Linked DNA regions of Tamandua tetradactyla. The protein of the gene in region 3 purifies or fractionates together with the protein of the main gene of each other region. This does not show direct contact. Links are inferred from orthologs where the notes say so. Each region holds a gene or a part of one and is shown on either strand. Other genes may lie near its edges.

What was found. Proteins that work in one complex are often made in the same cells at the same time.
Region 1: the proteins of SERBP1 (region 3) and RBM42 purify together in Homo sapiens (affinity purification with mass spectrometry; 3 studies listed by BioGRID and IntAct, with this or other methods). This does not show direct contact. The link is inferred for Tamandua tetradactyla from reciprocal best matches to the Homo sapiens genes SERBP1 and RBM42.
Region 2: the proteins of SERBP1 (region 3) and DNM1L purify together in Homo sapiens (affinity purification with mass spectrometry; 3 studies listed by BioGRID and IntAct, with this or other methods). This does not show direct contact. The link is inferred for Tamandua tetradactyla from reciprocal best matches to the Homo sapiens genes SERBP1 and DNM1L.

The regions. Positions count from the first base shown.
Region 1 is NC_135342.1:30,376,025-30,387,127, reverse strand, and holds the start of RBM42 (RNA-binding protein 42), read left to right. Parts: upstream 1-6,056; 5' UTR 6,057-6,293; coding exon 6,294-6,421; intron 6,422-6,660; coding exon 6,661-6,805; intron 6,806-8,141; coding exon 8,142-8,223; intron 8,224-8,316; coding exon 8,317-8,391; intron 8,392-9,923; coding exon 9,924-9,989; intron 9,990-10,066; coding exon 10,067-10,242; intron 10,243-10,758; coding exon 10,759-11,100; intron 11,101-11,103. UniProt on the Homo sapiens protein: Binds (via the RRM domain) to the 3'-untranslated region (UTR) of CDKN1A mRNA.
Region 2 is NC_135333.1:95,957,111-95,967,843, reverse strand, and holds the start of DNM1L (dynamin-1-like protein), read right to left. Parts: upstream 5,048-10,733; 5' UTR 4,876-5,047; coding exon 4,774-4,875; intron 1-4,773. UniProt on the Homo sapiens protein: Functions in mitochondrial and peroxisomal division.
Region 3 is NC_135337.1:58,507,832-58,519,215, forward strand, and holds the start of SERBP1 (SERPINE1 mRNA-binding protein 1), read left to right. Parts: upstream 1-6,623; 5' UTR 6,624-6,747; coding exon 6,748-7,060; intron 7,061-10,499; coding exon 10,500-10,650; intron 10,651-11,384. UniProt on the Homo sapiens protein: Ribosome-binding protein that promotes ribosome hibernation, a process during which ribosomes are stabilized in an inactive state and preserved from proteasomal degradation.

The DNA of each region.
Region 1 (11,103 bases), on a different chromosome or scaffold from region 3:
TCATCCACCACAAATGCTTCTAGGTGGACTGTTACTTAGTTGTGTTACACCCTTTCTTGACAAAATCTAACTTGCACAGAAAATGAAACAAAATTAGCATGGTTTTATTTGATTAATATATCTATGCACACACACACACACACACACACACACACACATATATATATGTTATTTTGTTTTGTTTTTTGACATTTGACTTAACATTTAAAAACTGGAATGGTGAAGGTGACAGCAGTCGGTTAGAGCAAGCACCCCCAAAGTTCTACAAATTGGCCTAGGACTTTGATTGTACATTGTTTTTTTTTTTAACAGTCACCCCAAATACCATGCTATGAATTGTTACGTGTAGTTCCTGGCCTTCCCAAAAGCTTCCCACTTCTCCCTAAGGAGAATGGCCCAGTCCTCACCCACATTCATACCAGGGAGGGTGACAGCACTGCTTTTGTATAAACTGTATCATCCTAATTTTTTAAAAAAAATTCTGCCTTAACAACACCTTTTATTTTTATTTTAAATTTTCAGCCATCATGGTCCCCACTTTTTGTCCCCTAAATTTACATGTATGAAGGCTTATAGTCTCCCTGGGAGTAGGTCATATTGCATAGGCACCCAGGGCTTCCCTGTACACTGACATGAGACCAGTTCAGTAAAAGTTCACACCTTCAAGAAAAAGAAAAAAAGAAAACACTAGGTGAACACAAAGAAGAATTCAAAAGTTTTAAAAAACAAATGGCAGAACTCATGGGAATGAAAGGCACAACAGAAGAGTTAAAAAAACAAACAAACAAAACACTGGAGACCTACAACAACAGATGTGAAGAAGCAGAAGAAAAGATTAGTGAATGAGAAGACTGAACATCTGAAATCCTACACTGAAAGGAACAGACAGGGAAACACATAGAAAAATATGAGTATGATCTCAGGGAATTGGATGAAGCACATGAATATATGTGTTATGGGTGTCCCAGGAGAAGAGAAGGGGAAAGGAACAGAAAGACTAATGGAGGAAATAATCACTGAAAATTTCCCATATCTTATGAAAGATATGAAATTACAGATCCAAGAAGTACAGTGTACCCCAAACAAAATAGATCCAAATAAACCAATGTGGTAGTTAGAGTCAATTGTCAACTTGGCCAGGTGAAGGCACTTAGTTATGTTACTGTGGGCATGAGCCAATGGTACATGAACCTCATCTGTTGCTGATTTACATCTGCAGTCGGCTAGGAGGCGTGCCTGCTGCAATGAATGACGTTTGACTTAATTGGCTGGTGCTTAAATGAGAGAGCTCAACATAGCACAGCCAAAGCAGCTCAGCATACCTCATCTCAGCACTTGCAGCTCAGCCCAGGCCTTTGGAGATGCAGAAAGAAATCACCCTGGGGAAGGTTGTTGGAACCCAGAGGCCTGGAGAGAAGGCCAGCAGAGACCATCGTGTGCCTTCCCACGCATGGAAAGTTAGCTGCCTTTTCTCTGAAGAACTAACAAAATAAATCCCCTTTTATTAAAAGCCAATCTGTCTCTGGTGTGTTGCATTCTGGCAGCTAGCAAACTAAAACAGCCAAATTCAAGACACTTAGTAATCAGATTGTCAAATGTCAAAGACAAAAAGAGAATCATGAAAACAGCAAGAGAAAAGCAATCCATCACATTCAAGGGAAACTTGTTGAGTCCATGTGTGGATTTCTCAGCAGAAACTATGGAGGCAAGAAGGCAGTGGTATGATATATTTACAATTCTGAAAGAGGAAAACAGCCAACCAAGAATTCTATACCCAGCAAAACTGTCCTTCAAAAAATGAGGTAGAATTTTAAATATTTTCAGACACTCAGAAAAGAGACTGGGCCTACAAGAAATTCCAATGGGAACACTACAGGCAGATAGGAAAAGACAAGAGAGAGGTCTGGAGAAGAGTGTAGAAATGAAGACTATCATTAAAGGTAAAAAGAAAAAAAAATAAGATATGACATATTAAATCCAAAAGATAAAATGGTAGGAGAAAGTACTGCCTTTACAGTATGAACATAAAATGTTAATGGCTTAAATTTCCCAATCAAAAGACATAGACTGGCACAGTGGATTAAAAAGCAGGATCTATATGCTGTCTACAAGAAACTCACTTTAGATGCAAGGACAAAAACAGATTGAAAGTGAAAGGTTGGAAAAAGATATTTCACACAAACAACAACCAGAAAAGAGCAGTAGTAGCTATACTACTATCTGACAAATTAGACTTCAAATGTAAAACAATTAAAGAGACAAAGAAGGACACTATATATTAATAAAAGGAACAACTCATCAAGAAGACAGAACAACCATAAATATTTCTGCACCAAGCCAGACTGCCCTAAAATACATGAGGCAAACACTGACGACACTGAAGAGAGAAGTAGACACCTCTTTACTAATAGTTGGAGACTTCAATACATGGGTCTTCTCAATGGATAGAACATCTAGACAAAAGATTAATAAGGAAACAGATTTTGAATACTATGATAAGTAAACTAGACTTAACACACACTTAACAGAACATTACACTGCACAACAGCAGAATACACATTTTTTTCAAGAGCTCATGGATTATTCTCAAGGATGGACCTAATTCTGGGTCACAAAGCAAGTATCAATGCATTTTAAAAGACTGAAATTATACCAAAATTATGCAAAACACTTTCTTGGATCATAATGGAATGAAGTTGGAAATCAATAATAGGGAGAGGGACAGAAAATTCACAAATATATGGAGGCTAAACAACCAGTGTTTTAAGGTAGGAATTAGAAGAAGAATCAGTAAACATCTTGAGGCAAATGAAAATTAAAATACAACATATCAAAATTTATGGGATGCAGCAAAGGCAGTGCTGAGAGGTAAATTTATTACCCTAAATGGCTATATTTAAAAAAAGAAGAAGAAAGATAAAAAATCAAGGAATTAATTGTTCACCTGGAAGAACTAGAGAAAGAACAGCAAACTAACTCCAAAGTAAATGGAGGACAGAAATAACGAAGATTAAAGCAGAAATAAATGAAATTTAGAATATGAAACAATAGAGAAAAGCAAGAAAACCAGAAGTTGGTTATTTGATAAAATCAATGGATCCTTAGCTAGGCTAACAAAAAAAAAAGAAGAAGAAGAAGAAAGAGAGAGGATGCAAAAAATAAATACAATCAGAAATTGGAAAGGGGACATAACCACTGACCCCGCAGAAATAAAGGAAGTAATGAGAGGATACTATGAGCAACTATATGCTAATAAACTAGATAACGTAGATGAAAAGGACAACTTCCTAGAAAATATTAACAACCAACATTGACTGTAGAAGATATTGACGACCTCAACAAGCAAATCACAAGACATTGTATCGGTCATCAAGAATCGCCCCCCCCCCCCCAAAAAAAAAAGTCCAGGACCAGATGGCTTCACATGTGAACTCTACCAAGCATTCAAAAAAGAATTAGTTTGTGAGACATGCAACTAGGTGAATGAACCTTAAGGACTGTATGTTGAATGAAATGGCAGAAACAAAAAGACTAATATTATCATGCCTCACTCATACAGACTAACTATAATGTTCAAACTGAAAGAATTGAAGTTAAGAGGATGGATTATGGGCGGGCCACGGTGGCTCAGCAGGCAAGAATGTTTGCCTGGAATGCCAGAGGGCCCGGGTTCAATTCCCAGTGCCTGCCCATGTATAAAAAAAAAAGATGGATTATCAAGTTGGGGCCTTTTGAAAAGGTTCCTAGATTGTGAGCTCTTACAGCAGTCACATACATTCAGGAGTTGTAACTGTTATTTCTAAATTCTGAGACACTGAGCTGTTTGGACAGAACCTGGTCATTCCCAGAAACTTCGAGTATCTGTGTGGCACCTGAGACTTAGAGTTTGGGCTCTGAAGCCGTGAAAGTCAGCATTACCCTATACAGGAACTGTTTAAAAGTTGAAAGAATGATCAGACTTCAACTAGAGATATGAACGAAGCTGATCTGGATAGGATTAAGGTAAATTAGATTACAGGGTTAAGGATGATATGGTCCATATTTTAAAACTTCAACTTCTGTGTGAAACCAGAAGGAGAAATGTTTATTTGGTGCAAAATTTATATTTTAGGTAGCACATTACCTAATTTAACTTGTATGGTCAGTTTAGTTGAACACTGTAAGTATATGGACTCTTACATGGGCAGGCACCAGGAATCGAACCTGGGTCCTCTGGCATGGCAGGCAAGCCTTCTTGCCTGCTGAGCCACCGTGGCCTGCCCAGTATATGGACTCTTGATTAGGGTGTGAGATCTTGTTGGTTTGTCCAGGTTAGTGTAATGTCCTAATACATCTCAGAATAATTTGAGCAGAGAATAAAAAAGTATTTGAAAAGTTCCCTTGGGGAACTGGGGAGAAAGGAGGAAATATTCTACTTCCCCATTTGGGGAATTCCTGATATTCTTGCAGACAGTAGGTACAACCAATTCAATAGGTTGAGCCCTCAATCTTAGACTTCATTCCTATGAAACTTACTCCTGCAAAGGAGAAATTAAGCCTCTTTATAATTATGCCCTGGTCACCCTCAGAGAACCTCTTTTGTTGCTCAGATGTGGCCTTTTTTTCTAAGCCAACTTGGCAGGTTAACTCACTGCCCTCCCTCTTTGGGACATGACTCCCAGGCATGTAAATCTCCCTGGCAACATGGGACCTGGCATCATGGACTTGAGAAAGAGTTCTTGACCAAAAGGAGGAAGAGAGAAATGAGACGAAGTAAAGTTTCAATGGCTGAGATTTCAGACAGAGTTGATCTCCAAGATGGCAGGCAAGAACTCTGCCTGCTGAGCCACCATGGCCGGCCCTAGATATCCCTATTTAGATTATGGCGCATTAGAGTGACTGGAGCTAAGTAGCTGAAACCAGCTAAGTAGTTGAGCTGTGTTCCAGTAGCCTTGATTCTTGAAGACGACTGCATAACGATATAGTTTTTACAATGTGACCATGTGATTATGAAAACCATGTGTCTTAGGCTCCTTTTATCCAGGGTATGAACAGATGAATAAAAAAATAAGGATAAAAAATAAAATAATAGGGGGCAATAAAGTGTTAAAAAATGGATAGACTGCAATACTAGTGGTCAATAAGAGGGAGGGGGTAAGGGTATGAGATATGGCAAATTACGTTGATAGTACTACTATATATATATATATATAGAATTGCACTTCACCTCTGGTTTTCCTTCCCCAAACCCGTAAGTCCAATCTAATGATTAAAACATCAGACAAATCCTAGATGAGAGAGATTCCATAAAATACCTAGTCAGTACTTCTCAAAACTATCTAAGTCATCAAAAGCAAGGGAAGTCTGAGAAACTGTCACAGAGAAGTGGAGCCTAAGGAGACGTGTTGATTAAATGTAATGTGGGATCCTGGATGGGATGCTAGAACAGAGAAAGGACATTAGATTAAAAATAAGGAAATCTGAATAAAGTATGGACTTTAATAATGTAAAAAAAAAAAAGTTAAAAGACTCACAGTTCACGCCTTACATTTTGATGGAGGGGTCAGTTGTGTCCCAAGAAAGACACTAAAACCAAACACACACACGCGCGCGCCTTTCTAAGTTGACGCATTTGACCGAGCCTGTTCTTGAGTGGTCCTTCCCTTTAGAACGCTCCCGTTTTCCCCTGCCAAATGTTTTCTGATGCGTCAGCTGTCATCCCCTCCAGGAAGTCTCGTTCGGGCGCGTCCGCTAGGCTCCCTAATCATGTACTTCATGTTTCTGTAGTCACCATCTGGCAGCATTTTTGCCTACTCGAAAGTGAGAACCCAGATCCTCCAACCTCGTCCAACACTGAGCCCCTCCTCGAGTTCAGTGTGCCCTTAAAAACTTCCGGCATTGGGCGAGGCCTCGGAACTTTCCTGAGCTCTCAAAGGTCCAGATTCCATGCTGGTGGGTGGAGCCAACTGACTTTGCCGCACTCTCATTGGCTCACGTTCCTCCATGAAAGCTACGCTCCCTGTCTTTGCTGCGCCTCGATAGGTCCAAGTTCTTCCGTCAGTTAGTCTTTTCAGCCCCCTCATTCTCCGGGTGTGGCCCGGTTCTCATTTGCCCACGTTCCGGGTCCGCGTAGAGGGAAAGGTGGGCCCCCTTTGGCGTCTTGACGTTGTCTACCAGCGCCCGTCGCTTTCGTATACGTCATCCCCGAGCGCCCATCCTTACGCAACCAGAGAGTACACAGCGAACCGCCGGCGGCCGCGGAGCGGCGAGCCTGCGCCGAGGCGGTAGTAGCAGCGACAGCGACTGCAACAGCGATGGCCGGGGCGGGGCCAGCCCCGGGACTCCCGGGGGCAGGAGGACCCATGGTCCCGGTCTCAGGCGCCGGCATCCCGGGCAAGAGCGGCGAAGAACGCCTAAAGGAGATGGAGGCGGAGATGGCCCTGTAAGGCCTGCAACAGGGCGCGATAAAAGCTGTTCCAGAGTCAGAACCGCTGACCCCTGGAGCCTCTAGGCGCCGATAGGCCCGGAATATGGCTCTTTCCTCGGAAACTGGGACTTCGAGATTGTGGGAGCGGGGTTGGGGGAGAAGTAGGCAGAGGTGAAGGCGCTGTCATGATACATACCCAGCGTTCCAGAATTCGTGTGAGGCCTTGAACTATGGTGTCTGTCCTGCTCCCCCAGGTTTGAACAGGAAGTTTTGGGGGCTCCGGTAACTGGGATCCCGGCTGGTGTGCCTGCGATGCCCACGGTCCCCACGGTAGAAGCAATGCAAGTTCCAGCAGCTCCTGTAATCCGCCCGATTATCGCAACCAACACTTACCAGCAGGTATGGCTGAGCTACAGCATATAAATCAGGCAGCACTAATGCCTAGCCCACAGTAGTTAGCTAGCTCTTAATTATCATGACAAGTATATTTTTTATGTGCCAAACAATGTACTAAGTGCTGAAGACAGTACTGACTGAGACAGACAATAGTTCAGCCCTTGGGGAACTTATGTTCTATAGCATACTGTTCAGTAGAACTTTCTGCAATGACGGAAATGTTCTATGTCTATTTAAAATTTACATTTAAGTTAAATTTTCCTCAGATGCATTAGTTGCATTTGGAGTATTCCAGACCTGGCTAATGTAATGAGTGGAGTGACAGATACTATTAAAAAAGAAAACAAATGAATGACTTGTTCATTCCATCAACACATAATTTTCAGGTGCCTCTTATGCTCCTGTGTTCCCTGAACAAAACAGAAAAGCAATCACTGTCTTTTTGGAGTTTACATTTTACTAAGAAGAGACTTACCAGCATAGTCAGGGAAAGCCTTTCTCAGAAGGTGACATATTAGCAATGATATAAAGAAGGTGAGGGAAAGAATAATGCAGATACTTGGGAGATGAGCATTCTCAGCAGAGAGAACGACCAGGGCAAGAGCCCTGAGGCAGGTACCTACCTGGCATGCTGAAGGAATAGCAAAGAGGGATTCTGACTGGAGTGGAGTGAGCAGGGAGGAAGAGAGAGGAGATAAGGACAGATGGGTGATAGAGGGCAGATCTAATAGGGCTTTCTGAGCCACATTAAGGACCTTAGCTTTTACTCTGAGTTGGGCAGCCATTAGAGCATTTTAGGTAGAGGAATGATATGGTCTAATTTAGATGTTAACCGGGTCACACTGGCTGGGTTTGGAGAATAGACTGTAAAAATAATAATGGCCTGGACCAGGAAGGTAGCATGGGAGATGAAGAAAATGGGGTGGACATAACTTCGCAAAGAGCTAAATGCTAAGGGAAAGATGAAACAGGGTAGAAAGAAGTTGCTTCTGGGAGGTGGTATGAAACAGCTTTAGCTAGTGACATCTCAAAGACCTCCTGGAGAAGTGACAAATTTTAGCTGAGACCCTTTGCTTGTGTATACTCAGTTTGATGTAAAGTTCTGCCCTGCTCTCTATTAGATCAAACTTGGTAATTAGATCTAACCCTGTTACACTTTTGTTATTTTTATCTGATGATAACTGAGAAATTTTAGCATTTCTCACTCTGCACTCTGCTGGTTATATAACCAGCCCCATGTAAAGTGCCAAAAATGAAACCCTTAGTCTACCAAGTTGAACCAGCCAAAGCACATTTGGGAATCTGAGCCAGCCCCTCATCCTGACCTCCTCTCCAACAGGTCCAGCAAACTCTGGAGGCCCGGGCAGCTGCTGCAGCCACAGTGGTTCCTCCCATGGTGGGCCCTCCTTTTGTAGGTCCAGGTAAGTAAGGAGTTAGGGATAACGGTGAGGGCAGTATCAGGAATATTAGAAAAAGGGGTTGTCTTCCACCACTCCTCTCTCCCTTCCCAACAGTTGGCTTTGGCCCTGGTGATCGGAGTCACCTGGATAGTCCAGAAGCTCGAGAAGCCATGTTTCTGCGGCGAGCAGGTAAGTCTGGGCCTACAGACCCCACATTTATCCAGACACCACAAAAACATCTCTGGGTTTGCCAGGTACTCTTGTTTAGCCTGCTTCAGTCTCTTGCCTAAATCTTCAGTCTTCCTGCTCTAAATCAAGTTCTCCATTTTACCCCCATCCTGATGTTATCAGCTTCCTAAAACACAAACCTGATCGTGTCACTTCTCTGATTATTTTAAGTTAGTTTGGCCTTTGTGGCGCTTAACCTGATCATTGCAAACTGCCCCCACCCCCAGCTGTCACTCCTAATCACTGCTTTTAGCCATGTTTCTCCATAACATGTGTCACATTCTAATAAGCATATGATTTACTTACTTATTTGGTTTTTCTTCTTTTGCCACCTTTAAAACATAAGCTCCATGAGGGTCAGGGGTCTTGTCACCTGTCACATAGTAAGCATTACACACTGTCTGTTGATGGGATGAACAAACTATTAAACAAGTGCCAAGCTCCTCACCTAGCATCCAGAGCCATATACACCCTCACCCCTGGCAGGGAGATATCCCTACACTCTCCCCTGGAGTCCCAAATATTGCTGAGGTGTGCCAGCAGTGCTCCCATTGAGGTCTTTACACACTATCTCCCTTACTCACTGTCACTCAGCTCTAATCTTCAAATCTGTTCTCTCTCCAGGCCATTCTTACCTTTTGTTATTGCGGTAACCTTTATATACCCGGCCAGTTTCTGTGCCTTTACTTTTCTGTGTGTCTGAAGAAAATGTGTATACTCAGTTTGATGTAAAGTTCTGCCATGCTCTCTATTAGATCAAACTTGGTAATTAGATCTAACCCTGTTACACTTTTGTTATTTTTATCTGATGATAACAGAAATTTTAGCATTTCTCTCTCTGCACTATGGTTTTGATCAAAATGTAAAACTGACCCAGTCATCCTTCCCAACTTCCATTTCTGCTGTGGCTCCCCAATGCCATCAGAGGACATCCATGTGCTCGGCAAACAAGGCCTTGCTTGGGCGCCTGCTGTCCTCCCTATCCTTATAAGGCACTATAAACTCCCACCCACCCCACCCCACTTAGTCTCTTAAAGACACACTAAACCAAAAAGGAGAAAGGTTTGTTCACAAATACTTTCTCTGCCTGTAATATTTAACTCACTCTTTGCCTGATCAGCTCCTCGTCCATTTGTTCTCACTAATAGGTCTCTCTCTACAAAACCTTCTCTCATCCTCTGACCAGCCCTCATCCTACCTTTGGTCCCTTATTGCTGTCACTCTCTGATGATGGGTCTCTTCCCCCCTTCCCTGAACTGAAAGCCCGTGTTCTAGAGGCATGTTCTTAGCATTGCCCAGCCTGAGGCCCAGCCCAGAAGAGATCTTCGATTGTAAATTTTTGCTGAATGAACAAACAAAAAGACCCCTCACTTCTCCAAGAAGGCTCCCCAGGCTCTTCTCCAGGATTTTTCGGATGCTGAAAGAACCACTCCCAGCTCACCCCCAATGCCCCGGTCCCCCATGACATGCACCCCCATCTCTCTCTCCCACAGCCGTGGCCCCCCAGAGGGCCCCTATCCTGCGGCCGGCCTTCGTCCCCCATGTGCTGCAGAGAGCAGGTGAGGGGGCCAGGGTCATCATCCCTGCCACAAACCCCACCCCAATTCCTCCAACTCTCCCACTAACACCCTGACAGATTCTGCTCTCTCTTCTGCAGCAGGTGGTCCCCGCCCTATGGCCCTTCGGCCTCCTCATCAGGCCCTTGTGGGACCCCCTCTGCCCGGGCCTCCTGGACCACCCATGATGCTGCCACCAATGGCTCGGGCCCCGGGACCCCCTCTGGGAGCTATGGCAGCTCTGAGGCCTCCTCTGGTGAGCGTGGATAGGGATCTGATGGCTGGAGGTGTAGTGGGTATAAAGACCCTCAGTCTTGGTCCACTGGGTTCTGTCTTTCTCTCCTGGCTGTTCATGTCCCTATCTTCTTATTCACTGATTTTGTTTCTGTAGTGTCACTGTTTCTTTCTGCCTCAGTCTTTCTCAGTTTCTCCCTGTGGCTGAATCTTTCTGCTTTTGTTTTCAGTTTTCTTTTTTTGGTAGAGAGTATAGAGAGAAACTGCTATGGGTGTATTTCTGGTTTTTTTTATTGTCCTCTCCCTGGTTTTCTGTCTTGATCTCTCTTTGTCTCTTCTCAGTGTCTGTCCCTCTGTGCCCTCACGGTGTCTATTTCTTCTGTTTTTGTCTCAATTTCTGTCTCTTGAATATCTGTACTCTTTCTCTGTCCAGGTTCCTCTTGATTGCTCTCTGGTCCTTGCTGTGTTATATGTGAGAGTGGTGGAAGCAAAGTCTGAGCCTGTGATCTGACCCCTCATGCCCTCCCCTTGCCCACAGGAGGAGCCAGCAGCCCCCAGAGAGTTGGGCCTGAGCCTGGGCCTGGGCCTGAAAGAGAAGGAAGAGGCAGTGGTGGCAGTTGCAGCGGCAGCAGCTGGGCTGGAGGAGGCCAGTGCAGCAGTGGCTGTAGGGGCAGGAGGTGCCCCAACTGGCCCTGCAGTCATTGGGCCCAGCCTCCCACTGGCCCTAGCCATGCCATTGCCTGAACCTGAGCCCCTGCCCCTCCCACTGGAGGTCGTACGTGGCCTACTGCCCCCACTGCGCATTCCTGAGCTCCTATCCCTGCGTCCGCGGCCCCGGCCTCCTCGGCCTGAGCCACCTCCTGGCCTCATGGCTCTTGAGGTA
Region 2 (10,733 bases), on a different chromosome or scaffold from region 3:
AAGAAAGGAAAATGTCTTTATATAGATTGTGGTGGCAAAGGCATAGCTATGTGATTATACCAGCAACTACTGATTTTTTCCTTAGGTTGGATTATACAATGTGCAAATAAAACTGTTTAAAAATGAACAGTGCTGGAGAAAATGTGGAGAAAGAGATGTACCTATTCAATGGTGGTAGAGAAGCTAAGAGGTAAAGCCCCTCTGGAGGGCAGTATAAGTGGTTCCACAGGAGACTAGGGGGTGAGGTTACCACATGATCCTGCAACTCCATTGCTAGGTATATACCTGGAGGAACTGAGAGTGGGGCCACAAATGGACATTTGCACACTGATGTTTATGGCAACAGTGTTCATAAATTGCAATGGATGGAGGTGATCTAAAGGTACAACAACTGAGGGATGGAAGAGGGAACTGCGGTGTGTACATACAGCAGACTACCGAGTGGCTGCAAGAAGGAATGAAGTTTTGAGGTATGCAACTAACTAAGTGAATGAACCTTGAGGACAGTATGTTGAATGAAATGTCAGAAACAAAAAAATATTATTATGCTTCAATCATATGGTCTAACTATAATATACAAACTTAGAAAACTGAAGTAGAGAGCATGGGTTATCAGACTGGGGCCTACCATAAAGGGTCCTAGATTGTACATTCTTACAGCAGTCAAATCTATTTCAGAGTAGTAATGGTTATTTCAAAATTCTGAAATACTGAGCTATTTGTGTATAGCCTGGTTATTTCCTGAAACTTCAGGTATTTTGTGACACCCGAAACTTAAGAGTTAGAGCTCTGAAGCTATGAAAGTCAGTATTATTCCAGCAGCAACTGTTTAAAAAATTGAAAAAGTGATCAGACTTCAAATAGAGATATGAATGAAGCTAATCTGGATAAGACTAAGGTAAATCAGAATATAGGGTAAAGGATAATACGGACTTTATCTTAAAACGTCAATTTCTATGTAAGACCAAAGATAGAGATGTTTATTTGGTGCATAAATTATATTTTTGGTAGTATATTATCTAGTTTAATTTGTATGGTCATTTATTAGAATACTATAATTACATGGAATGTTGAATAGCGTGTAAGATCTCATTGGTTTGTACAGGTTAGTGTGATGCACTGATACATCCCAGAACAGTTAGGGCAGAGAATAAAAAACTATTTGCGAAGTCCCCTTGGGGGTCTAGGAAGAAAGGAGGAAATATTCAATTTTCCCATCTGGGGAATTTCTGATACTCTAACAAGCAGTGGGGACGACCAATTCAAAAAAGGCTGAGCCCTTGATCTTGGGGTCTGCCTCAAGCCACTTCAATACACCATAAGCTAAAAAATGATATCTATATAATGCATAAAAATAACCTCCAGGAAAACCTCTTGATTCTGCTTGAAATCTCTCAGCCACTGAAACTTTATTTTGCTCATTTCTCTCTCCCCTCTTTTGGTCAAGGAGGTTTTGTCAATCCCTTGATGCTAGGTCCTGCTTCATTTTGGGATTTCTGTCCCACATGGCCAGGGAGATTTACACTCCTGGGTGTCTTGTCCCATGTAGGAAGGAGGGCAGTGAATTCACTTGCTGCATCGGCTTAGAGAGAAAGGCCACATCTGAGCAACAAAAAAGGTTCTCTGGGGCTGACTCTTGGGCCTAATTTTAAGTAGGCTTAGCCTATCCTTTGCAGGAATAAATTTCATACGGGCAAACCCCAAGATTAAGGGCTTGGCCTATTGATTTGGTTGTCCCCACAGCTTGTGAGAAGATCAGAAATTCTCCAAATGGGGAAGCTGAATATTTCTTCCTTTCTCCCCATTCCCAAGGGAACTTTGCAAATACTTCTTTATTCATTGTTCAAATTACTCTGGGAAATATTGTTGGACAAATCAACAAAATCTCACACCCCACACAAGACTCCATGTACTTACAGCATTCAACTAAACTGACCAAATAAATTAAATTAGGAAATGCACTGCCCTAAATATAAATTCTGCACCCTTTAGTCTCACACAGAAGTTGAATTATTAAAACATGGACGATATCACCCCTACCCTGCATTCTGATATACCTTAATCCTATCCAGATCAGCTTCATTAATATCTCTACTTAGAGTCTGATCACTTTTTCAACTTTTAAACAGTTCCTCTATGGGGTACTAGCCATGACTCTTGAAGGTGACTGTATAACTAAACAGCTTTTACAATGTGACTGCGAAAACCTAGTAGCTGATGCTCCCTTTATCCAGGGTATGGACAGATGAGTCAAAAAATAAGGACAATAAATAAATAAATAAATGGGGGGAGGGATAAGGGGTTAAAAAAAATTGGGTAGATTGCAGTATTAGTGGTCAGTGAGAGGGAGAGGTATAGGGCATGGGATGTATGGGTTTTTTCTTTTTTCTTTTTCTGTAGTGATGCAAATGTTCTAAAAAGATCATGGTGATGAATACACAACTATGTGATGATGATGCTATTATGAGCCATTGATTGTATACTTTGGATGGACTGTACACATATGAAGATATCTCAATTAAATTTTTTTTTTTAATGAAGGATGGATGAAGACATTCCCAGATAAACAAAAGCTAAGGGAATTAATCACACTTAGACTGATCCTACAAGGGATGCTAAAGAGAGTTTTGCAGGTTGCAAGGAAAGGACAACAGACAATAGATCAAAGTCACATGAAGAAACTAGGCTCTCTGGTAAAGATATGGACATGGGTAAACATAAATGTCACTACTATTGTTTTTTGGTTTGTAACTCCACCGTTTATTTCCTACAGGATCTAAAAGGCAAATGCATAAATTACAATCAGTGGTTTTGGACTTATAATGTATAAACATGTCATTTGCGACAATAACTACATAAGGTGGGGAGACAGAAGAGTATAGGAACACAGTATATGTACACCAGCGAAATTAAGTTGGTATCTAAACCAACAAGTGTGGTATAGAATGAGGATGTTAAATTTAAGCCCAGTGGAAACTATAAAGAAAATATTGGAGAATATGCAAACTCATACAAACATAAATTACAGTACAGATTGCCAGAGGCAGAGAACCAGGGGAATGGGAATTAATGCATAATGGGTAAAACTTTCTTGAAGATGAGAAAGTTTTAGTAATGGCAGGTGGTGAGAGTATTGTAACATTGTAAACATAAATACTACCATTGAATGGTATGCTTGAGAGTGGCTGAGATGGGAAAGTTTATGTTGTATATGTGAATCCACAATTAAAAAAGAGCAACTAAAGAAACAATAAAAATTAAATACAGTACGTGATTCTGGACAGGATCTATCCAGGGAGAAGGCACAAAAGGACATTACTGTGACATACAAAAAGTTGGAATACAGACTGTAGATTTTTTATCAATGTTAAATTTCTTGAACATGGTAACTGCACTTAAGGTGGTTACATAAGTGAATATCCTCGATCTTAGGAAACGAACACCACGTAGCAAGCCAGACTCAAGTGTTCAGAAAAATGGACCATAGATAGAAAAATGGACCATAGACATGGATAGATGAACGGATTGATAGAATGATGGACAGAGAGAATGATACGGCAAGAGACAGCAAAACGTTAAAATTGGTGGATTTGGTATCTAGAGGGAAGGTGTATGTTTAGAGTTCTCTGTACTGGGTTTGTATTATTTTTGTGACTATTCTGTAAATTTGAAAGTATTTTAAAATTAAACGTTTAAAAGAAAAGTGAAGGATGTCTACGGTTCCCAAGGTTTTCAGTGTTTGAATATGCTCTATAGCACTCTGAACATTAACTTCTCTCCCATAATATTTATTATGAGAATGTATTTTAGTTTTGTTGAAATGCGCCTTATGGAAAATGAGGAAACCATCTCAATAGAAAAGATACTGTTAAGAAATGAAAGCACTTAAAATCATATAAGTAATCACTAAAATGCTTTCCCTGAACCCAAATCCTATGATTCTTCTTCAATCTAGAAAAGCAGCGTACTTCTCTGTCACTTTAGAAATAAGTTATTTTTCCAACACTTCAGCATGGAAAAATAAATGTGTTATCTATAAAGAAACCCAACCTGAAGAGACCAGAGACCCTATATGCCCAATTTAGGTCACGATCACAAAACCGTAGAAGATTAACAAAAAACAAACAAACAAACAAAAAACCACAGGCTCCGAAGGAAAACTCCATGTTCCTAACACCCACAGAACTCCAAGTACGGTGGGTGCTTTTGTTTGAACTATTCTGATTTTCTCAGCGAACGGTTTACACTGTAGGAACTCAGATACTACACAAGTGGCGGTCTCTTAGCTCTGACTGCGCGTACAAAACTGACTCCACAGTCCCGGGGCAAGGCAAGGACCGACGGAAGTAAAACACCCCGCGGCTCCGAAACCAACCGAGAGGGGATCGGACAGCCCACCAACAATTCTCTGCCGCCACGCGCACCCGCGCGTCCCCCAGATGCCCTTGGAGGTAGCGGCCCGTGGACCGAGCCGCGCCCGGTCCCCGCGAACTCCAGTTCCGCCCGCCGACCGGTCCCTCCTCCATCCCGCCCCCGGGACTCCTCGGGCCCGCAGCGCCGACTCCGCCCCTGGCCTCCACGCCCGGCCCCTGGTTCTCTGCACAGAAGCCACCAGTCCGGGACAGGCGTGGCGGGGTCTGGCGAGCCCCGGGACCCCGGCTGCACCCTCTTCCCACAGGCCGCAAAGTCCGGCCTGGAGCAGGCACTGCCACAGCCCCAACCAGGGCCGCGCCCCGGGCTCTGGCCTCGGTTAACCCCACCCGCGTTTCTCACCTGCGTTCCCACCACGACGATCTGAGGCAGCTGGATAATGTCGGCGCCCACAGTGTTGAAGACGTCCTGAAGCTTGTTGATGACAGGAATTAGCGCCTCCATGACTCCGAGAACACGGGCCCCCTGCCCGCCTGGCCGCGGCAATGAATGGAGCCAGGGCCTGGAGTCCTCGTTCTTCCTCCTCTCCTCCGCCTTCTCCTCGGGAGCCGGCACCCATTGGACCCGGCCCGCCCGCTACCTGCCCCCTCCCGGCAGGCCATGCGCCAAGAGGGAGGTGGAGAGGAACAAAGGCTGCCGGGATTGGTAGTCCAGCCGCGCAGGACCGCCGGAGCCTACGGCGTCCAGAAGGCTGCGCGATGTGGACGGGCCCGGAGTGGAGCGCGAAGGGTTTCTGGGAGCGGACGCTCACTGGCTGGGGTCAAAAGGTTGGAGAGTGATCCCCGGAGAGTAGAGGAAGGCATACATTTATTCCTGTCCCTGAAGCACACCTGGTGTGAAAAATGCCAGATGTGGGTTTATATTAGATAGAGCGGAGTCTTTCTTGGCTACCCAAAATGTCGTTTCGTTATTAGGGTGATTCCTCAAGAAGAGCGAGGCAGAATGGTTTGAAGAATCGCTCATAAGCATCTTAAGTGTATCTGAGGCAAAAGTATGCCTGTACTCCAATATCAGTCGTGGGTGCTTTTGCAAAAACATAAGACCAGCCCAGGTTAGAACACGAAGGTTCTTCAGGGGTTTTGTGAGAACGTGTACGGGGAGAATTTTACAGTGATCCTTATTCACTATATCCTATATTAGTGTATCCTTGTTTCCTACATTCATTACTTGTTGTGGCGTGATTCTCGTCAAGGTGGAGATTTGATAACTGTCTTACTTGCTTTTTGCTGAGTGTGCCTACAGTTCTATTCCTCAGTGTCCTTTTCCTTTTTAGACATCTTTACGCCTCCGATCTTTTCCCATCGCACTGATGGTGAAAAAAAAAAATGGTGCCATTTTAGTAAAGACCCATAGCAGGTGAGAAAAGAACCCCATCCTTTTTTCTCCTTATTTGTGATGTTTGTTAAACTCTCTTTGTTAAGCTGTCACCCTAGACCATCAGCTCCTTGAGGACAGGGATGTTTGTCTAGTGTAACTAGCCCCTAGAAAGTGACACAGTATATCTATCTGCTATCAGTTTTCAATGAGTTTACAAGCCAGAGGAGACAGATGATGACACCATTATAATTAAATGAGTAAAAGACTATGGCTGGGTGTATTTTGTAACAGTTAACGGGAAAGAACAGAAGTCCAAGCAATGTTTCCTATAAGAAATCACTAGATTTAATCTCCAAACAAAGCCATCAGGCACCACTTACAGTAGTGGAAGTATTCACTAGACAAGTTTAATGGGTGCCATTTACTTGCACAGTCATGTACAGTGATCCTGGGGAGCATACCTGATTTGTTCAGCAGGACACGTGGTAAGCGCCCCATAAATATTTTGAGCAAAAGAATGAAATGTCATCTAAGCCTCTCGCCAAGTGTAGGAAGCATCCTCCTCTCTTTGGTTCTTTTTAAGAACAATGAGTCAAATTTCTGAATTCCTACAGAGCAAACAAAAGAATTTTATCAAGTCCCTTTATTTCTATCAAAAATATTATGTGAGATTCAGTTATTACCAAATTTGCTTCTCAGACCTCTGCTGATGCAGTTTTTCTTCTCTTCTTTTTCTCTGACCAGTCTGTCTCCTTACAAAAAAGAAAAGCAAACATAGAGGAGGTAGGCAGGTGGCCAAGCTGCAGGGACATAACCAGATTACAGCTTCAAAGGGGTAACATGCATGGGGGCAAAAATAATACAACTACATTTTTTTTAAATACAGCTACATTTTATAATGTTTTATCCCTTGTCTGAGGCACCAGTAGACACTGCTTTTTTCCTGTTTGCTAATGCCAAAACTAAAAGAGCAAGCATATATATATTCCAGAAAAATGAATGTTATGAATTTTGCAAGGCATTATACATTTCCATTTAAAGTATAAATTATCTCCTGGGATGGAATAGCTAGGGCCTTTTAAGAACTTGCTTCAGGAACAATAGTGACAGCTTTTTAAAAAAAAAATTTTTAATACCGAAAAACACCTAACAAACGCAAACATTCCTATTTTGATCATTCCGTCCTACATATAATCAGTAATTCACAATTTCATCACATAGTTGCATATTCATCATCATGATCATTTCTTGGAACATTTGCATCTATTCAGAAAAAGAAATAAAACGAAAACAGAAAAAAAATTTATGCATACCATACCCCTTACCACTCCCTTTCATTGATCACTAGCATTTCAAACTAAATTTATTTTAACATTTGTTCTACTATTTATTTTTATTCCATATGTTCTACTTGCCTGTTGACAAGGTTGAAAAGGAGCATCAGACACAAGGTTTTCACAATCACACAGTCACATTGTGAAAGCTCTATCATTATACAATCATCTTCAAGAAACATGGCTACTGGAACACAGCTCTACATTTTCAGGTAGTTTCTACAGCCTTTCCATTACATCTTGAATAACAAGGTGATATCTACTTAATGTGTAAGACTAACCTCCAGGATAACCTCTCAACTCTGTTTGGAATCTCTCAGCCATTGACACTTTGTCTCATTTCACTCTTCCCCCTTTTTTGTCTCATATCACTCTTCCCCATTTTGGTTGAGAAGGTTTTCTCAATCCCTTGATGCTGAGTCTCAACTCATTCTTGGATTTCTGTCCCACGTTGCCAGGAAGTTCCATTCACCTGGGGGTCATGTCCCACATAGACAGAGGGAGGGTGGTGAGCTTGCTTGTTGTGTTGGCTGGAGAGAGAGGCCACATCTGAGCAAGAAAAGAGGTTCCATTGGGGGTGACTCTTAGGCCTAATTTTAAGTAGGCTTGACCTATTCTTTGTGGGGTTAAGTTTCATATGAACAAACCCCAAGACTCGGGGCTCAGCCTATAGCTTTGGTTGTCCACACTGCTTGTGAGAATATCAAGAATTCAACTTGGGGAAGTTGAATTTTCCCCGGTTCTCACCATTCCCCAAAGGGGAATTTGCAAATACTTTTTTATTCATTGTTCAAATCACTCTGGGATTTATTGGGGCATCACTCTGGACAAACCAACAAAATCTCATGCCCTATGCAAGGTTCCATGTACTTTTGGTGTTCTAAGCTATCTACATAAGTTATATTAGGAAATGCACTAGTCAAAATATAAATTTTGTACCAAATGAACATTTTTGCTTTAGTCTCACACATAAGTTAAAATTTTTAAATATTAATTAACATCTATTTCCAGCACCCTGCAGTAATAACATTCCTTTGTTCTTCCTCATGCAGAAGCATTTTTTTAAATTTGTACATGTAGTCACTATCATTATATACTCTAGGCATTCCTAGATTATACCATCTCAGTCTTTATCGTCTATCTTTCTTTCTGATTTCATTTGTGCTCCCAGCCCTCCTCCCTCTATCATTCTCACATTCAGCTTCATTCACTCTTTCAGTGTTTTAACATAATTGTATTATAGTTAGGTAGTATTGTGCTGTCCATTTCTGAGTTTTACATTCAGTCCTGTTGCACAATCTGTATCCCTTCAGCTCCAGTTACCTAATATCTTACCCTATTTCTATCTCCTGATAGTCTCTGTTGCCAACGACATTCTCCAAGTTTATTCACTAATGTCAGTTCATATCAGTGAGACCACACAGTGTTTGTCCTTTTGTTTCTGACTAATCTCACTCAGCGTAATGTCCTTAAGGTCCATCCATGTTGTTACATACTTCATAACTTTATTCTGCCTTACAGCTACATAATAGTCCATCATATGTATATATCACAGTTTGTTTAGCCACCTGTCTTTTGATGGACATTTTGGCTGTTTCCATCTCTTTGCAATTGTAAATAATGCTGCTATAAACATTGGTGTGCAAATGTCCTTTTGTGTCCTTGCCCTCATGTCCTCTGAGTAGATGCCTAGCAATGGTATTGCCGGGTCATAGGGCAATTCTATATTTAGCTTTTTGAGGAATCGCCAAACTGCCTTCCACAGCGGTTGTACCATTTGACCTTCCCACCAATAGTGGATATGTGTGCCTCTTTCTCCACATCCTCTCCAGCACTTTTGGTGTTCAATTAAGCTGTCTACATAAGTTATATTAGGAAATGCACTATTTTCTGTTTTATTGATAATGGCCATTCTGGTGGGTGTCAGATGATATCTCATTGTGGTTTTGATTTGCATTTCTCTAATAGCCAGGGAAGTTGAGCATCTCTTCATGTGCCTTTTGGCCATTTGTATTTCCTCTTCTGAGAAGTGAGTGACAGCTTTTTAATTCTGTCTTTTTCCAGCAGAAGGAAGAATGATCACAAAGGCCAGTGCTTAAAATTCTTCCTGACCATATCACCAGTCAGGCTTGAGTAGGACTGCTTGATTGACCTATTCTTTGTGGGGTTAAGTTTCATATGAACAAACCCCACAATGCAAAAAAGGTCTTGCATTGTGTTAATCAAGCACAGAGGAAAAGAAAAGTATTTAAGCCAGCCAAAAGAGGAAGTAATGAGGACTTAAAAAAAAAAAAGTGTCTCTAATTTCATATTTTCTCCTTTTTTTTTTAACCTCAGTCAGTATATTGTATGTGCAATATGTCTCATTGGAGGGAAAAAAAATCAAATCAATTTGGGTTTCTCCACTCTTTAAGTTCAGAAAACTCTTGCTTGTAGGAAAGCCATTTACCGATAAGTATTTGTTTTGTCTAATGTAGGATGATGTGTTCCTAGGTGGGTTGCTATGAAATCAAATTAAGCCATTATCAGATACCATCTCCAAAGGCTTCTTTAAAAATTATTCTTCAACCATCCCTCTCTCACCATAGATTTATTATTTAAGCAGGACAGTTTGTTGCAAATGACAGAATTTTAACTTAAAGTAAGAAACACAAAAAAGGGGAATTAATTTGTATAACTAAGAGGCCAACATAACCTTGTCCTTAAGATCAGCTGGAACCAGGATCTCAGGCAGTATCAGCACTCTCTCCACCTCTATCTCTGCATCATTTATTTCATTCTGTCAAATCAACTTATTTATCTGGGATAAGTGAATGGGCAATGGTGGAGGCAGCAGGGGATGTCTCAGGGCAGTCAGGCTTAAGAAAATCCAAGGAAGAACAGAAACTTAAGTTTCCACTCCATTTCTCAGGTGTATTATCTTCCTATTACAGACTTAACAAGTCACTACAAATTTTTTGAGGCTTAAAACAGCAGAAACTTGTCAGCTGGAAGGGCATATGGCAAACACGGTGTCATCTGCTAGGTTTCTCTCCTGGCTTCCTGTTTCATGAAGCTCCCCAGGAGGATCTCCAAAGGTCACTGACTGGTGGACTCTGCTTCTCATGGCTGCATTGTTCTGCTCTCTCAGAATCTCTCTCATTCTCCAAAATGTTTCCTCTTTTATAGGACTTCAGAAACTAATCAAGACCCACCCAAATGGGTGGAAACATGTTGTCACCTAATCCAATTTAACAACCACTCTTGATTGAGTCACATCTCCATGGAATGATCTAATTACAGATTCAAACAAAAATTCGTACTGAATACGGATTAAAAGAAACAGCTGCCTTTACAAAATGGGATTAGGATTAAATGGCTTTTCTAGGGTACATACATGATTTCATACCAGCACAGGCACCAACAAGAGGTTACCTTCACTCAAGAAAGGCCAGTGGGGCAGAAACACCTCTGTCAGCCAGGTAGTCTGAGACTAACATCTGTTTGTCTCTTACTCCAGGACTCCACTGATTTCAGCCTTTTTCCTGTGGGTGTTGCTCACTTTACTTCTCCAGGGCTGGCTTTCATCTCTTGGCTACCCTTGGCTGTCTCCAGGTTCTGGCTTGCTTAACATCTCATGGCAATGTCTGCTGGGCTCCAAATATCTCCAAA
Region 3 (11,384 bases):
GTTGACTCCTTGAGGCCTCACAATTCTAGGAGTCCTGCTAAGTATCCCAATTTAACAGATAAGGAAACTTAGAGAGTCTCTTAAGGAACATGTCCCAGGTCACGTAGCTATGAAGACTGTTTGATGGAAGGGCCTTTATTTCAGACCAGCATAGCATAATCAAATTCACACCACCTCTGGGATTAAAACCTGGCTTTCCCACCTCCCAGCCTAATCCTCGGTCATTTCACAGTTTGCCTCTGCAGCCTGTGGCACGTCTGGAGTTCTCACTGTACTTCAACCATGAAATCTGCCTCATTCCTATGAGAATCTAAGTGCTTTCTAGTTCTTGATACATCTCCTATCCACCCTCCTTAAATAAGCTCAATGCTCTGGGATTTTACCCCTGTGGAAAATGGAAAGGATTCACTTACTCATTCCCTTGTTGGACAGACGCTGACACACACACACAGGAAATATGGCATAGTGTTAACACAGACTCTGGCACCAGACTGCTTTGTTTGAATTGTGACTCTGCCATTTACTTGCTCAAGGTCACACAACTTGTTATTTAACCTTTCTGTGACTCGGGTCCCTTATATAAAATAGGTTAATGATAACGCTGGCTTCACAGAGTTATGAGTTTTAAATGAGTTACTCCATATTAAATGCTAATAATAGTACCTGGTGCAGAGTAATCCTCAGTAAACATTAGGTATTATGGAACAGACATTGGGAAATAGAAGTATGTTAGGCACAGGGAATAGAAGTACATGCAATGTAGAGAGAAATACAGGCACGTTCATTTCTTCAATAGACACTTCACATACTAAGCACTAGGCATTGAGGGCATACCAGCAAAATACACCCCCTGCCCCCAATATTTACAAACTGCTATAAGAGGTAAATAGACAAGCAATGACAACACAGTGTGATAAACACAGAAAATGGGGTGCAAGCAGGGTAATATGAGAATATATAAGAGGGAATGATGTTTTGGAGGGCAGAGGAAGTGTCTCAGCAGAAGTGAACTCAAAGTGAGACCTGATGGATGAGAAGGAATTTTTTTTTAAATTTTTATTAACACATCTTTACACACATACAGTCTATATATGGTGTACAATCAATGGCTCACAATATTATCACATAGTTGTGTGTTCATCACCATGATCATTTTTAGAACATTTGCGTCACTCCAGAAAAAGAAATAAAAAGAAAAAAGAAAAAACTCATATATCTCATACTCCTTACCCACCCCCATTGACCACTAGTATTTCAATCTATCCAATTTATTTTACCCTTTATCCCCTCTATGATTTATTTATTTTTTTATCCTTTTTTAAAAAATCATTTGTCCAAATGCTGGATAAAAGGAGCATCAGACACACCATTTTCACAATCACACGGTCACATTGTAATTGTTATATTGTTACATAATTGTCTCCAAGAATCAAGGCTACTGGAACACAGCTCAACAGTTTCAGGAACTTTCCTCCAGCCACTCCAGTACACCATAGACTAAAAAGGGATATCTATATGATGCATAAGCTAACCTCCAGGATAACTTCTCAACTCTGTTTGAAATTTCTCAGCCAGTGAAACTTTATTTTGTCTCATTTCTCTTGTCCCCCTTTTGGTCAAGAAGGCTTTCTCCATCCCCTGAAGCCAAGTCCTGGCTCATCCCAGAAGTTCTGTCCCATATTGCCAGGGAGATGTATACTCCTGGGAGTCATGTCCCACGAGAGGGTGGGGGTTGGGCAGTGAGTTCACCTGCTGAGTTGGCTTAGAGAGAGAGGCCATACCTGAACAATAAAAGAGGTTCAATGAGAAGGAATTTGCCACTATTTACTAAATTACTAATTACTAAAACGGAATGTGAATTGTAGAGTATGTAATGAGCTGTGCTGTGTAGGGAGGCACATGCAGGAGCAGGAGGGGGTAGAGTAAGTAGTTCTGTCTAGTTGGAGGGTAACGGGGCATTGTAGGGGGCAGGGGGCCAGAATTGGAAGAAAATGACACCAGGTTGTCAGGGGCCTTAAATGCATTGCAGAGGATTCTGGACTTCATACTGCAAATAATGGGGAACTGTCAAGTCTAGAAGAGCTAGAATTAAATAATCTAGACAAGGTTAGATATGGAGTCAGGACAACCATTTGGAGTCGTTGGAAATATTCCTGATGAGAACGTAAGGCTGCAATGGATTGCTGGCCTTGAGGATGAAGAACAGGAGATGTTTGGGCAATAATGCAAATAATCAAAGAGACAATGTATCCTTCTAGCCAATATGGGTATTTGATTGGAAAAGTGTGAGAAGTACAGGTAGCATAACAGAAAGAAAATGAGGTTTTGGAGCCAGATAGAATTGGACTCAAATCCAATCTCTAGCATCCGTTGAATTCATGTTTAGTGTGGGTAATAGTCCTACCTCATAGTTTGTGAGAACTATTAACATGTAGAGTGCCTAGCACAGGGCCTGGCACATAGTAAGCATGCGGTACGTGAGAGTGTGAGTATTTGGGGATTAGAGAATAAGACTGTGGTGAGAAGTTTGTACCTTAGAGAACAGTGAGTGGTCTTAGTCTTTTGAATGTCTTAGATGCTTTAATTAATTAATTAATTAATTAATTTCTTTATTTTTGCATGGACAGGCACTGGGAATCAAACCTGTGTCTCTGGCAAGAATCCTGCTACTGTGCCAGCATTGCATCGCCCTAGATGCTTTATTTTTAGACAACTTTATTTAGATATGATTCATATATGATACAACTCACCCATTTAAAAATTACCCATTTAAAAAATAAAACGTTTTTAATTTATTCACAGAGAGGTGCCACCATCACCACAATCTAATTTAGACCATTTTTATCACCCTAAAAAGAAACCCATGCCCATTAGCAGTCATTGCCCATTCCTCCCACTGAAACCCCCCAACCTCCACTAATCTACGTTTTGTCTGTACAGCTCTGTTCTTAGAGGCTGTCACAGATCTCATGAAAGTTATTAAAACGCTATAAAAAAAATGAAAAACCTGGAAATATGCCACAATTTTGTATGCAATTTCCAGGAAGTCAGGTAGCCTTGATTAAATTTTTTTGTTTCATGGGCAGGCACTGGGAAGCGAACTGATTAAAATTTAATAAATCCAAACCCTTAACCAACTCAAACCTAGTCTTTCCAAAGTTGGCACTAAACTCCTAGAGTGGTGGTGGTGGTGGTGGACAGTGGAACTTTATAGTCTTCCCTCCTGATTCTCTGCCTGACCTGATTTCTGCACACACACAATTTGCTCTAAATTTTCTACACATAAGCATAGCTGTGAACATCAGCCATGAGGCTCCATCTCTTTTTCCCTTTCCATTTGTTACCTCTGGGAGCAGCAGAAACCTAAGAGATTTCAGCTAGCAACCAAGAGCATGTAGTGTCTCTGAAAACAGGTCAAAGCTCTGAGAAAATAGCAATCATATATTAGGAGCTTACTGGGGCTGAGCATGGTATTATCATTAATTACTCTTCCAATTTTTCAGTTCTAGGAGCTCCTCCTGGACATGTCAGCCTCAGGTCTATGGTAGCTCCTGGTAAATAATGCAGTATCACCCTGAGGAAGGCTTCTGCCATCAATCTTTGTTTGGTATCGTTGCCTGTAATCCACTTCACAGAAGCCAAGAACAGCTGGAGTCTAGAGAGGGGACTCTCATCTTAGATAATAAAAGATGATGTTTGTGCTTCCATTGTATCAAGTAGGAATGCCTGTGCCTGCCTCCATGCCTGTGTTTATCGGGTTAGAACTTCAATCATGTTAAACTGGTCTCTTTTAGAATAGCAAGTGAGAATTTTGATTACAAAATAGTTTCCTGATTTAAATTTTGAGTTTTATTACCATGTTAGCTGAAGCCTCCTTCTTTAAAAAGGAAACCGGGTTCTAAATATGATCATGGTGATGAATACACAACTATGTGATGATATTGTGAGCCCTTGATTGTCTACTGTGGATGGATTGTATGTGTGTGAAGATTTCTCAATAAAAATATTTAAAAAAGGAAACTGGAAGCAACTTGAAAGCACACTCAGACTTAATCACCTTTGTATTCATTACAGGCTTTCTCTTCCAGTTCTTCACCCCAACCTCAAGCTCACTTAGTTACAGGCACACAACATGCTGTTCTGCTTTTTGTGTTTTTTTGTTGTTGTTGTTGCTGCTGGAACATACACGCTCCTTCCTACCTCGTCTTCTCCTGTTGGCTGTTCCTTCTGCTTTTCTCTTTAAATCTTCTCAAGGCTGGCTTTTTCACATCACTCAGGCAGGCATCAGTTCACATAGCTTTTCTGATCATACAACCCCCAAAAATGGTCCCCTTCTCTCATCACATTATCCAAATAGACAGTCTTCATGGTACTTATCACTCCCTGAAATTGCCCTTGGGGATGTATTATTTGTTTCTTCTTTGTTTCTCCTCTACCGAAGTGTAAAACTCCATGAAACAGGCCCCTTGCCTGTTTTGTTCACCAGAGACCCCCCAGGGCTCAGAGCAGCCCATCACACATAGGTTTATTCAATAACAGCTGTTGAGTTAAAGGTTTATTATCAGAAGAGTTAGATAAATAGTATTAAATGTGAAATATATTTTCTATTCCATAAGAGTTAACCTAGATGCATGCATTCAGAACTTTGTTGGCTATATCGAAACCTAAAAACTTGCTATTTATTGGACTGTCCAAAATAAAATGATTTTAAAAGAAGAGTAAAATGAAGGCAAATTATTCGACCTCTTTGCACTTCACTTTCGTTACCTTGAAGAGGGAATAGCAACGCTTTCCTCATACAGTTGGTGTAAAGATTAAATGAGATCACAAATGTAAATTGTGCCAAGCACATAGTAAAATATCAAGCTTTAACTATTATTGTTGTGGCACTAGCCTCTAAGAAGTAAGAAATGGAGTTTTAGCAGATGTCTCCAAGCTACAGATATTAACAGTCTTTGGTGAAGAGAAAAGGGCTTGGAAAAGTATAGAGACTTTCCAAATTTCACTCGAGCTAGTTTCAAAGGGGTGGGAAGAGAATGGTCAAAAGGTCCTTGTCTCTTGCCTTTGGTAGGAGCCACAAGCGTCAGAGACTGTGGAAGCCAGGATGGGGGAGGAGGGTGTATGGCTGGGACTGAGGCAGCAGGGAAATAAGCCAATTTTGGAGGCGGCCAGAATTTAGAAACAAGAAAACCACTAGGCTTGCTGCCACATGTCTGTAATATGACTCTTCTATTTTCCCTCTTAAGGAATTCATTTAAGATCTACTAAGAAATTGATAAGTACATTCATCAATGTTACATTCCCTGACCAACATGCAACAGTGTTTAAATCTTACTAAATATTGGAAATTAATTAATAATTGACTGCTAACAGAAGGCAGAGTCTAGATCAAAGAGTTGATGTCAACAGTCTCATAGTGGAGTTAGATAATGGGGTTAACTCATGACACTGACATTTACTAAAAAAGGTGTGAACTTGGTTATCTTACCTGTCTGAAATGGTTTATTTGTGAAAAGGACCAAAACCTACTTAACAAGTTGTTGAGATTACAGTAGTCATAACACTTGGTGCATAAGGGAAAAAGGTGTAAAATTATAACGATGTGTTTAAACACTTAGAGTGTTACCAAATATGCATTGATACTGCATTACCTTAGTGGATTTTAATGTTCTTAACTAATATCAATGTTTTTAGTAAAGACACTTAATTTGCTGACATATTCCTCTCCCCTCACTGCACCTGCCAGCACACATACAATGAGATGCTCATTCGTTGTAATTACACCACAGCCACCTAAGCCTTGACCTGCCGGACACTAACAGACAATTCGACTGGCTCTAAAAAGTCTTTCTACAAGCATTGCCTTCTTCTCGCAGCCTGCCCAGTGTCTGGTGCTGCACAGTCAGGAGCTAACAGCTCTAAAGCATCCGTAGCAACAAGGCATTTCTTGCCGGGGAAAGGCGCGCCACACTCCCATGGACAGCTCAACGTGTCCCTTTGATTAATTCTGTTACGCGGTGTTCACGTCCCCGAGAGAGGAAGCGTACTCCGCTTCGCATTAAATCAGAAAAGCCTGGATACATTATTGGGGAGGAAAGAGAGCGACTCCAGCAACGGAGCAGCTAGGCACGTGGATCAGACCGGTTCCCGCCTCGCCAGGCCGGAGCGGCACCTCTGCACCCCCCGCACCCCCGGAACTTCGTGAGTTTCCAGCTGAAAGATCTGGGAGTCACCTTGACCCTCCCGGAGAGGTGGGGAAAGTTAGCCCGGGCCCGGAGGCGGGGTGAGAAAAAGCAAAGACCGAGCACTTTCTCGAGCAAAACATGCTGTCACGTTTTCCTGTTTTCAGGGTGGCTGGAGACCTAGAGCGTTTAAGGGTGGCTGGAGCAGGTGGTACAGCCCCGCCCACTGTCCCGCGTTCCCTCCCTCAGTTACCCTCCCTCAGCTCGCACGCTCTGCTCGCTCCCCGAGGTCCCGCCTCTGAAGCGCGCGCGAAGAGTTGCCGCGCGGTGCATCCTGGGAATTGTAGTCCCGAAGCGGGAAGCCGCTTCTGGAAAGGCGACTCTGGCCTACGCACCCCATGATGCCGTGCGGCGCAGGCCGCTCCCGGATGTGTGTCTGGCGCCGGAAGAGAAGACGGCCCCCCTCTCTCGGCCCGGCCATCTTGTGGGAAGAGCTCAAGCAGGCGCTCTTGGCTCGGCGCGGCCCGCTGCAATCCGTGGAGGAACGCGCCGCCGAGCCACCATCATGCCTGGCCACCTACAGGAAGGCTTCGGCTGCGTGGTCACGAACCGATTCGATCAGTTATTTGACGACGAATCGGATCCCTTCGAGGTGTTGAAGGCGGCAGAGAACAAGAAAAAAGAAGCCGGCGGGGGCGGCGTTGGGGGCCCTGGGGCCAAGAGCGCAGCTCAGGCCGCAGCCCAGACCAACTCCAACGCGGCGGGCAAACAGCTGCGTAAGGAGTCCCAGAAAGACCGCAAGAACCCGCTGCCCCCCAACGTTGGTGTGGTTGACAAGAAAGAGGAGGCGCAGCCGCCCGTGGCGCTTAAGAAAGAAGGTAAAGGTGGGGTAGAAGGTGCGGGAGACTAGGGATGGAGGAGAGTTGGGACTGCCACTTGCTTCTGTAGCTCCAAGGGGCTATGGGAGACTTTGCCGCCGATTTATTCACGCTTCCCCCCATGCGACCAAAGCCAGGTCCTGCGGAGGTGCTGGGAGCGTGGTAGTGCCAAGTTTAAACCCCCACCTGCAAGAGCCCCCGGAGCCACCCCTTTCCCGCCTCAGGTTCTCAGCCGGAGGAGCATGGTCCGGAGCTGTTCCTCAGCTGTTCCTCGAGCGTAGTCGGTGTCCTAGGAAGCTGTTCCCTTCCCGCCGGATTCCTTGGCGGGCGAGCGCATGGACTGGAGGTGCGGGGAATCCAGACACTTAGAAGCTTTTGTAGTTGGAAAGAAGTTTGGGAGCCTACAGCTTCTTTCTGCCCAAAGCTCTTAGCGTGGTCTTTCGAGGTGCTGTTTTCTGGTTTAGCTTCTGTTCTGCCATCTTGTCCCACGATGGTGTGGAGTACCCGAGTGAAAAGCTCTGGGGTCAGAATTGACATGTAAGCTACTTCTGTGCTCAAGTCAAGATATTATGCAGTAAGTTGCTGTTCGAGGTGCTACATGTGGTTTCTAAGCCCCCTCCCCCCACCTTCACTATTAACTTGCTAAAGTGAGTTAGACTGTTTGGATGGGTGAGGAATTTGGCTACACTCAGTTAAGCAGAGTGGGAATTCTGATTGAAGACTGATTATTGCCGGAAATCCTTCGGATCGCCGGCGTCTCACGATCCTTTTCTCCCAACTCCTCGCGCTCAGTTCGTATGGCGTGGCGTGGCCTGGGCCTCGTGGTGAAATAGGTGTTTAGGCTGTCACAACATTAGCAGCGGCAGAACTCTTGAGCCTGTAGCCTTTTTTCCGCGTGTGCCTGAAGCATTGTCAAGATTTTACTGGCGGGCGATGTGAATTTCACAGGGTTGTCTTGAGCTTGACTTTTGCATTCTACGTTTTAGCTTATTGTGGGGGGTGAAAAAGTAAATAATTGAGGATGTAAAAAACATACATTGTCAGTTGCAAGTGAGGGTAGAACTTAAGCTCAGAATCTTTCAAGTTGTGTTTTTATTCAGAAAATTGAGATTCCCCTTTACTGCCACGTGCTCCTGAAAAAAGTTGTCTCATTAATTTTGCCTACTGTAGCAGTCAACTGACTTGAAAACAAAACAAAATTTCACGTGTGCTCAGAATGTTGGATTTTGGTTTAGGATTTTTTTGTGGCTGTTTTGTGAAACTTGGAATAAAGAGCATGGGTGGTTAATAAAACAAAAAAAGAATTCTTGTAATAAATTTATATGTTGGGGAAAAGCGCAAGTTGGAATATCAGAAAGCATGTGTTTATCAGTTAGACCAAATATCTATTCAGCTGATTAAGATTTATGGCAACCTGTGGTACAGTTGAATAAAACATTTAATTCCTGTCTTAAGAAACACTGACTTTATGCAATTATTTGGACTCTTCTCCTTTATCTCGTTGAGTATGCTCATCCAGAGAAAGCACATGAAAAAATTGAGTCTGGAATAAATCTAAAGTGTTTACTGGTAGATGTGTTTACCCCATTTTGAATGTTCAACATATGAAGCATGATTTAATACCTCAGTTCTGATCATTAAAATAAAAGCCCATCTTTGAAACATACTTTTACCTGGAAACCAGTACTTTAAATTGTAAGTGCAGAGAATTATTTCATAAATTTTTCCAGGACTAAAACACAAGCTTGTAAGTATGGGAAAGAAATGTTGAATGAAAAGTATTTGTTTTAAGATTCTACTACTTGTCAATGTTCTGGGCATACAAGTCCCTCCCCTCTTGTAGTGGGACAGATTCTTATCTGATCATGCATTCTGTACCTTTGATATAGATCCTTGCACAGTGTTGGACATATTTTAGATAAATATTTAAGGTTTTATATGAATTTAAGTTTATAGCTTGTTTTTAATAATAAAATTCTGGAATCTAGTGAAAATGAATGAGCTTGCAAGTGTAGAGAAATAGAGGAGCTTGCACTTTTAATGTCAATCATTTTTTATTGGGTAAATTTATTTAGTAAGTTTTAGATTTAGCAGTTTAGATTCTCTAAGCCTAATATTGAAAGTTGGGTGGAGAAGCAAGTCATTGTTCATTTGGGTGTGTTTTGCTTGGATATCATAAGGACTGGTTCCATTGTCCTAATGGAACACTAATACACTGTACCTCTGAAAAAATATATTTAAGGCTTTGGGGTAAGGCTTATCATCCATGGTCTCTTGAATTTACGTGGAATGAATTTTTGATGCTAAAGATGGTTGAACAATTTGGCTGTGGCCTAATGGTGTTCCACTTTCTTAGAACAAGAATGAATTAACTTAAGATCTTATTATAAAATCAGTCCTTCAGCTGCTTTTTTGGCTTTGTCAAAAATTGTGGTTTGGGAATTACAGCATACCTGGAATCTTACAGTCATGAGTTTAACTACCAATCTTAAGCCCATCAGTAATATATTTTGATTGCCTTTGGTTGGGCCTCTAGACTCTATAATAGGAAAAAAAGGTAGTAAGAGGAGAAATCAGTAAATGCTTCAGCTATCATTTAGTGCCATACATCTCCTGTTAAATATTGCAAAAGAGGTCTTTTTATGTTTGTGCAGTCTTTAAAGATTCTTTGAAAATAAAGATAAGTATAAGGGCAAACTAAGAAATTTTCATGAATTTCATAGTTGTACATAGCTTTTTAAAAAGTTTGGTGATAAATGTATTGTGTACATGCAAACATGTTATATATATATATATACACACACACAAACTTATCTGTATATGTAAAACTGTAGTAGGAGAGGAAGATGGTGAGGTTTTTTTTTCTGGCTAGTTTAAGCTATGGGGATGCACTCTAATAATCCTAAATGCCATTTGCTTTCCTTTTGGATTTGTAATTTCATAACAGATTTTTTTTACTGTATAGTGTTCTCCCCACCATCCAAATAATGTAAAATAAGATACGTCCTTCATTGTTTTCTTAAGGGGCTGTTACTGGTGTATTGATTTGCTGTTTTATTACTTATGAGTGACTACAAGTATTATCTTCATAAGTATCTCTAAAGCCAAAATGTGTAATTTCTCATAATACTTTGTTTAAAAGTTTTTTTAATTAAAAACTTTGATATCTTGAAAAGTGAAACGAAGAATAACTTCCCGAATGGCTTCCAGGGCGGTAATAGAGACTACTTCAGGGAGAAAAAAATGAGTTGACAAACAAAATAGAAGTTTGAAAAGTTTATTATCTTTAGATGGGAATCTCTCTAAAGTACTGTGATCCACATTAGGGATACCTTGTGTTTGCCTTGTTCAACAGAAAGTGCTTGTTAATGAACTGACAGGTGAACAACTTTTTATGTTGCAAAAATAATTTGCTTATGCATATTATTTATCATTTTAGGAATAAGACGTGTTGGAAGAAGACCTGATCAGCAACTTCAGGGTGAAGGGAAAATAATTGATAGGAGACCAGAAAGGCGACCACCTCGAGAACGACGATTTGAGAAGCCACTTGAAGAAAAGGGTGAAGGAGGAGAATTTTCAGTTGATCGGTAAGTTTTTAAAAATCTTTTCCTTTTGTTAACTTACAGAATTACATCATAAAGCTATAAATTGGATATAATCGCTAGGTCACAGTGTGGTTGATCTCATCATTTTGCAGAGAAACATAAATACATGTGCCTTGTTCTGCTTTAGACCTTTTGTAATAGATTTTCATGTTCTAGTGTAATGAAATGCTTAACGTACTTTGCTGTCTTTTCCTTCCTATCCCTAGAAGTTGAGTTAAAAGCATAGCAGATTAGGTGTGTTAAATTTAATTTTAACTAAAATAGTAGTTTTGCCTAGATTGTAGTGTACAATGATATAACAGTGAAAAAGACTATTCACTAGTAATGTTTTTGAGAATGCCAGAATAATTTTCTTAGTCTTTTGGGGGGCTTCCTAGCTGTTTTGATTTCTTTATGTATTTAGAAATATACTATATTGAAATTCCTAAAACATGTATTTAACTGTTAGATTATGAGTCAGTAAACATGTCCCTGCATTTTTGAACTCTTAAAATGGATTCCCTTATTCCTTTTTCTGGAAACCTTGGGAGAATAGTATTTTTTTTTTTTTTTTTTTTTTTTTTTTTTTTTTTTAAAGGAAAGACAGAGAGAAGGAAGGAAGGATAGAAGGAAGGAAGAGAGGAAGAAAGGGAAACATCTTTTAAACATTTTCTTGTTTTATTGTATTTTGTTTCTCCGTTTTCGTTACATGGGCTGGGGCCGGGAATCGAACCGAG